Linked DNA regions of Rattus norvegicus. The protein of the gene in region 1 purifies or fractionates together with the protein of each later gene. This does not show direct contact. Links are inferred from orthologs where the notes say so. Each region holds a gene or a part of one and is shown on either strand. Other genes may lie near its edges.

Region 1 (3,512 bases):
TATGTCCTGGACAACCAGAACTTGCAGCAGCTGTGGGACTGGAACCACCGGAACCTGACCGTCAGGTCAGGGAAAATGTACTTCGCTTTCAATCCCAAGCTGTGTGTCTCTGAAATTTACCGGATGGAGGAGGTGACAGGAACAAAGGGACGGCAGAGCAAAGGAGACATAAACACCAGGAACAACGGAGAGCGAGCTTCCTGTGAGTGACAGCGTTAAATCACTGTGGCTGCCACAGTCAAGATGGCAGCCATTCATGGGCGGGCTCTCTTTCACTTTGGACTGTCAAAGCACTGCAGCTGGTACCTGGCCTCTGCGTGTGTCTGCACAGTTTGTGGGTGGGTGCCTGATATATCCGTATTGATACATTTTTCCAGAGGATCTGTTTGAGTATATTAAACATTCAAGCAGGTTCTTAGAGCGTGCACAGTGAAATATCTTGTCAATATGAGCAGACAATATTTATTAAAGAGCTAGTCTGTTCCAGCCCCATGAACAAGCCAGCTCTGTCCTGCATCCCCAGAACAAAGTGAGCCCAAGTCCTTGAATCCAGAATGCTTTTCACATTTTAGACAATGTAATAATACCATCTAGGTAATACAGTTTTCACCCTAATATCTCATAGACGAGAGTTCAACCTGTTAGCACAGCCCTCTCCAAATGTGGCCCCAGACGTGGAATGTCTTTCTCTAGCCTTGTATGGAGCCAGGTACACTCCTATAATCTCAGCACTTAACAGGCTGAGGCAGGAGGATTGCGAGTTTGAAGCCAGTTTGGGCTACATCAAAAGACCCTGTTTTAAGGAAGCAAACAAATGCTAAAGCTCTATATGGCCCTCCGTCTTTATGGCACTAGTGGGGAAAATAAGGAGTCATGTGACCAACATCTAGTCAGATGTACGCATATATACGGAGGGAGGGCTAGCCTTGTCTTCTGAGTATCCAGATTTATCTGATACCCTCATGATCCAGGAGGCATTTTGAGAAGAGTAGTTAGGCAGAGGTGTGAATGTGCACCCTCACCAGCACCCTCACCTTCCTGCAGAGTCCCCTGGCCTGTTCCCCATTAAGACCATAGCAAAAGCCTGCAATTGAAACATTTCGAAGTTTTTCTCCCTTAGAGGCAGCTAGGGACCTGCCAGGTCATGAATGCACCAGCCATTTATTTTCCTTTGGAAGCACAGTCAGGGTTCTCTCTCTGGGTGACACTTGAGCAGGACCTGCCATGCTCTGGGGGTCTCTGTTAAGCACATTTTGCTGACTTCTCAGGGTTTTGGTGTTCTCTGTCTCTTGCCTTCAGCTCATTGGTGAGAGCAGTTCGGGCAGTTTTGGGGTTGAACACAACTTGATGGGATATTGACAGTCATTTCTCCCACCTTACCAGCTAGAATGCAGTGCTAAAATCAGGACAGTCCCCACACCTCACCATACCTCACAGCCAGGGTGTACGTGCCAGAGAGCACACGGCCTGCCCAGGTCAGTGCCCACCCAGTCTCATTCCTGCTAGAAGACTCCAAGGAGGTCCTGTATCCTTCTAGCTTGGCACCCCGTTCTAGCTAAGAGAAGCTCTGTTTTGTGGCTTACTCGCGGTCTTACACATGCCTTGTGTAAGGCATACTCTGTGGTCGCTGCACAGAAGCCAGCAGATGCCTATACCTACAGGACTCGCTGTTCTCTCAGTACAGCCTACAGGTTTGCAGTCATTTAACCAGGTCCCCTTTACCCTCCAGCATCCTATGAATGATCTGAAAGGCAAGGCCACCTTGTTCGTAAAGAGGCCCTTCTCACGGGGTGAGAGACAGTTACAGGTTCACGCCCCATCCCCTGGGCAGGTGACCAGTGGGACAAACTGACCTGGAGTGAAAGATGAACCTGTAGGTTCTATCCCCTGTGAAATGTTTGGACTCCTGGTGGAAAAATCAGAATGCTACCTACAAAATCCAGACAGAGCTTAGTACGGACAGCCAGCCTCGGGAAAGATAGAAGTGTTAGTGCACAGACAGGTGGGTCTCTGTCACTCACGGATGCACCTCTCTGCCCCCAGGTGAAAGTGATGTTCTCCGTTTCACCTCCACCACCACCTGGAAGAACCGCATCATCATAACGTGGCACCGGTACCGGCCGCCGGACTACCGGGATCTCATCAGTTTCACAGTCTACTACAAGGAGGCGTGAGTTTGGGCCTGTCACTCAGACATCAAGCTAGAGGGTGGGGATGGCCAGGTGGTTGTATGCCTTGGCTGAGTAGAGAATCTTTGGGGTTCCTGTGAAGAATCAGGCCAGGTGACCACCTCATCCTCACGTGTCCTCTTGTCACGTTAAACTGTCCCAACCTGAGACAGCTAGTCAGGAGAGTTTACACTTCAGCCTTTCCATTGTTTAGATGGTATTTGAGTAGGTTCACCTCAAGGGGAAAAAGGATGAATTTTAAGAGAACTGGATCCATCCAAACTATCATAAGCCATATGTGGACTTGGTTAAAATATTGTTTTAGCCTCTGTCCCCAAAATGCCCCATGGGATATACTGTTCTCACCGAGGTTACCCTGAACTGACCCATTGTCTTCCAGTCACTTTATGCATATGTGGTCTTGCCAAGACTTTGCTCTGGGTCATGAGCCCTTTAGAATTAAAGAGGAACAGAGAGGGGCTAGCCTAGCTGTCAGCATTTCCCAGGATCTTCTAAGAGTTTCCCTGTACTGATAGGAACACCTTGCCTGCTCAGCATTAGAGCTCTCTGAGCGATCTCATTCTCCCACTAGGCCTCCTGTGGCCGGGTGGTTTCCCGTCTATGTGGTCATCCGTTTTCCCAGGTGCTCATCTTCCCAGAAGCAAAGGTGCTAGTGGCAGTGCCTGGCGCCTTCGCTGCTGCTGGACCTGGGGTCCTGGGAACTGTTATAGCCCATGGGAAATAGAAAGCTCACAATCTCTCAGCATTTGCGTAAGTGGAAGGCACCCATCTCCCATCGTGATTGAACACAGGTCATGTCAGTACAATTTCAGAAGCCAGTGGCTAGCGGCCCTTCCATCTCGTGAAGGTAGAGACCCTGCCCACAGTGCCTCTGTGGAGAACCCTCCCTTCCCTTCAGAAGTGCTGCCAGCATGCTGCAGTGTTAACTGATGGTATCACTGTGCCACTTTCTGAGACAATCAGGAAGCAAAATATTTGAATATTATGAGATAGCTATTAGAAGCATCAAAAAATAGCTATTATCAACTTACATTGTAGAACTCTGGGGGCGGAGGGGGTAGGAAAGTTAGTTTTGTTCGAAAGTTATCTCTTATCAGTTTAATATTTGCATTAAACAGCCATGCTTGAGAGGGACATCGGCATCTGCGTGTCTTAGGAGCAGCGTTTCCGTCCCTGTGAATACGGAACTTGCCGTCTCTAAGGCTGCTAGTTCGGTTCTGTGGTTCATAGCTGCCGAGCTCCTGGGTCCAGATGCTTGACTTTATTCTTGTATAGAAATCTAATTGACGATGAGTTTTATTCGGAATTCCCGTTATAGAAAGT
Region 2 (4,219 bases), about 32 Mb from region 1:
TCTCGCAGGCCCCACCCCCAGGCTTCTCTTCCCACCTCCCGGTCCTTGTACATTCTGCACCCTGGGCTGGCAGGGCACTGGTTGCAGTTCCACTGCTCAGCCTCCTCAAGCTTCTAGGTCAATCTCAGCTGCTTTGACTACCCAGAACAGTTTCGGGTCACATCCAGCTCAGCTCTGGTGTGGATGCCTCTTCCACCTCCCAAAGTGATTGTGTCGTGTACCACCATCACCTGGGAATGGATAGTCTGGGGATTCAGCTCTGGGAACTCCTGCCCCAGGCTACAAAGAAGCCACTCTTTCATGACCTGTGCTCATTGGACCCCTGTTGGTGCTAGCTTGCTCTGCCCTGGGCCTCCTCTCAACCCAGGGGTTTCTGCAAGGGCAGTGACAGTTTTGATTAACGTTCATTATCACTTCCTCCAACCGACAGGAATAGATGTGATGACTCCAGAGCCTAAGAGTATTGAGTATTTGCAATGTCCCTTCCAGGTCTCAAAGCAAAATCTCATGGCCAATGTAACACAATGGAGAAAGCTTCTTACCTTTCATATCCAGACAGATCTAGAAAGAGAAAGGCAGAATTCATGGCTCTAGAGGGGCCCAGGGAGGGGAGGCAAACACGGACAGGTGGAGTTTGTGTAGCTAGTCTGTATTTCCTGGCATAGGCAACTCCTACTCCTATGTCCAGTGAGCTCAGTAAGCTTTTGGGAGCCATGAAAACCAAAGTTCTAATGGCTCCAATGTACAGATGGGAATACTGGGTCTGCCCTTGAGTTAGAAGCACAGCAGGGGAGTCAAGGACAAAGCTGTGGCCTCAGGATTCTCCAACAGGTGTCTGGCAGCCAGAGTGTCCTCCTCCTATGACAATTCAAGGTATCAGGAATCTGTGACACTTCTCCCCTAGTTACAGAGAGGCCCAGCATGGCTGAGTCACCCTGGTCACCAGCAGCACTGGAGAACAAAGGAGAAGTCAGTGGCTGCTGACTCCCTGCCGTGCCTCACAGGGAGCAAAGCTCAACCTTACAGTTCCAGAGAGTCTCAAAGCGGGGAGGGGGATGGGTGTGGCTGAAGAGAGATGCATCCAAGCATCTTTCCTCCAAGGACTGAAGCCTGGGTCACGATGCTGACCAGCCAGCTGCATTGGCCCTCAAGGTGAATGCAAACACCTCATGGCTGTCCGCAGTCTCCCAAAGCTGTGCCTCTGCACCAAGTGAGTCCCTTGCTAGTCTTTACACCCAGGGCCCCAAGGAGAGCCACAAGATACAGTGGGCTGTGGCCTCTGCCCCTTCCTGACCTTCAGCAAGGCAAGTGACCTTTCTCACCCTTCAGTTCCTCTTTGGGGAAACCAGAATAGGAAAATTAACCTCCAGGAAGGGCCATCAATAGGGAGGCTGGTGGGAGGTAGTTTCTAAACATGAGGAATCTGAGTTAGCACTATGCCTCAATTTCTACTCCTGGGAAATGGGAATAACCTCTGTAGCCCCTTTCACTCACTGCTGAAAGGCTCTGGGGTCAGTGGGCAAAAAACCAGTTTGTTTAAGGGCCCCAACATGTGACTGCAGGGATGCTTCCTTTCTGATCATCTCTCATCACCGAGGCTATGCCTAGTATACAACAGGGGCTTAATAAATAAATATCAGAGGAAAGGAAGTGAAGGCAGAGAGAAGAACACAAACATAAGAGTAATAAGGAAAGCAGTGATAAAAAGCAGGTGCAGGAAGACTAGAGGAGGGGCCAGGAAGGGCGGCAAGGAGACTCTCAAGGGCCAGGAAGGTAAACTCTAAGTTGACTAGGGCTGGTCTAGGTCATAAGGATTGACCCCAAGAGCTTCCCTGCCCCTCCCTAGCCTTCCTACTTTGACCTAGTTTCCATTTCGAGGGCCTAACCTTTCCTTTCAAGGCAGGATCTACAAAAACAGTTTCCCTCACCACCACCATCCCCAGCTAGATGTAGCCCCTAGCTATGTGCTTTGGAGGTCAGAGGGGAAGGAAAGCATGTGAATGGGACCTGCCTTCCAGGTCTCAAAGTCTCCCACTCTGACCTGTGTTTCTGGTCTGGCCATGGGGAGTCAGAAGTGAAGTGTATCCACTGCCCTAGAGATGTCAGGCCCTGCAGGCATTTTCTGCTGTGCATGTGCGTGATTGGCCTTGATGTGTCACTAAGACCTGTGGCTGCATCGTGTCATTTCAGAGAGGGTTGACAGACTGCAAGCACTAGCCAGACCGTGCTTTGCAGCATCCAGGTGACAGGATACGTATGTTGGTGTATGCCCAGATGTGCGTGGCAACACGAGGTGTGTTAGAGCTGGTGCGTGTTCCAGTGGGACCTGTGTATGCTAACAGTACTGACAGCAGGAATGTGTTGGCAGACTAGTGTGTGCGTGAGAGACCGCGTGTGACGTTGTCGTGTCACAAATGCGAAGTGTGGCAGCGACTGTCAGTGTGTGCCAGCAGAAGGGTGTTCATGTGTTTATGAGTGTGTGTGTCGTGTGTCAGCCTGCCCCAGAACGTCCTCGAGTCTACCGACCAGCCAGGGCTGGTTGTGTGAGCTCGTCTCGGCCAGGAGCCTTGAACCAAGTGGGGTGGCCCATCCTGGGTGCCTCCGTCCTTACACATGGTTCTGGCCAGAGACCACACAAGAGACTTGGGCGGACAACAGAGTGCCAGATCCCGGGTGACGCTGATTGGAACCTCCGCCCGTGCCCTCGCCCAGGTCGTCCCCACGCGCACGCGGGACAGGGCGGCCACCCGCACTCACCGTGTCCCTTTGTCGCCCATGGTCCGCGGCGGCCGCAGGGAGGTCCGCGGCGTCAGCGTCCAGGCTGGAAAATCCCCGGCCGCCAGGAGAAGCGCGGGCCAGCCCGCTCCCGGCTACCCCGCTCCGCCTCCTCCGCTGTCGCCGCCGCCGCCCCCGCCCGGGTCCCCGCCCGTCGCTCGAGCAGCACAGCGCCCCGGCCGCCGCCAGGGGCGTGGAGCGTGCGGGTGTGAGCGCGCGTGTGTGGCTCCGTGCGCCGCTCTGCGTGTGCGCGCCCAGAGAGTGAGGGCTGGGTGGCCGGCCGCGGCTGGTCCACGAGAGTGCGTGCACGCAAGCGCGTGCCAGTGCTGGTGCGTGTGCACGGCTGTGCGCGCGAGCCTGTCGGGAGAAGGGGGGAGGGGTAGAGAGAGAGATTGTGTGTGTGTGTATGTGTGTGTGTGTGTGTGTGTGCAGAGATAGCACGTCTTTGTGCAGTTGTGCGTGTGTGCTCACAATCGTGGGTGCAAGCGCGCTCTCCCGCGCAAGCCAGGACTGGCCTTTGTGTCTGCGGATAGATGCAAGCGGAAAATCCGCAGACTCCAAGGCCCAGCCTCAGCGGCGCCCCTGTGTGTGAACACAGCAAAAGATTCCAAAAGCCTAGCCAGGCCTTCGCCCTTTGCTCCACCCTCCCCGCCCCCGCCCTTCTGGAGAGATACCACCCAACGGCACAGCGGGGACAGGAAGAAGGGGTGGGGGCGGGCAGCGGACTGCAATGCTGGAGAGCAGATGAGAGTGGAAAGAGGAGGGGAGGGGCAGGCAGAAAGAGGAAGCTGTGAGAACAGAAGATAAAGCAGGGACCAAGAGCCAACTAGCTGGTGACCGGAGCATCCAGCATCATTGCTAGCACCCAGGCCTAGTTTACTTGCCTGCAATGACTCTAGACATCAGCCATCTCAGCCCATTCCAGATCTACTGGCTGGGTCCTAAGACCAGCAGATGCCCTGTTCTATAGGTGAAGGAATTCACTTGTTCTTGCCGGCAGGCACCTGCACACAGTGGTGTCCAGCAGAGCTTACTGTCTGCAGCTTTCTTGCTATCCTTGAAATCTTGACTTTCCCCAAGTTTCCTACCCCTGTGGAAGTAGCAGGTGTGCAGTGGGAGGGTGGAGTCCAGAGGCTAAGGAGGGGTAGGAAAGGGTTCTGGATTTTAATCCATTTTCTCCTGGAAGGGATCTTAAGGGGTTCCTTCTTGCTTTGCAGGAAGTGGGAGAATGTAAGGTCTTTCTCAGCCGCTTGCTGCTGGGGTTTGACTAATTGGCACTGATAGGTCCCTAATATCGGAGTATTAACGATAGGAAAGGAAGCTATCATTTACTCTGATGCAATTGCGGGTCTGGAAACATCTCCTGTAATTATGTTCAGAAGAGTTACCTATGCTGTTTACATAGAGTGTGCTGTTTATAGAGTTGGTAATAATATCCCAGGAT

The links.
Region 2: the proteins of Igf1r (region 1) and Arrb1 purify together in Homo sapiens (affinity purification with western blotting; 3 studies listed by BioGRID and IntAct, with this or other methods). This does not show direct contact. The link is inferred for Rattus norvegicus from reciprocal best matches to the Homo sapiens genes IGF1R and ARRB1.

The regions. Positions count from the first base shown.
Region 1 is NC_086019.1:131,193,994-131,197,505, forward strand, and holds part of Igf1r (insulin-like growth factor 1 receptor isoform 1 precursor), read left to right. Parts: coding exon 1-202; intron 203-2,043; coding exon 2,044-2,170; intron 2,171-3,512. UniProt on the Homo sapiens protein: Receptor tyrosine kinase which mediates actions of insulin-like growth factor 1 (IGF1). Binds IGF1 with high affinity and IGF2 and insulin (INS) with a lower affinity. The activated IGF1R is involved in cell growth and survival control.
Region 2 is NC_086019.1:163,248,806-163,253,024, reverse strand, and holds the start of Arrb1 (beta-arrestin-1), read right to left. Parts: upstream 2,810-4,219; 5' UTR 2,778-2,809; coding exon 2,758-2,777; intron 1-2,757. UniProt on the Homo sapiens protein: Functions in regulating agonist-mediated G-protein coupled receptor (GPCR) signaling by mediating both receptor desensitization and resensitization processes.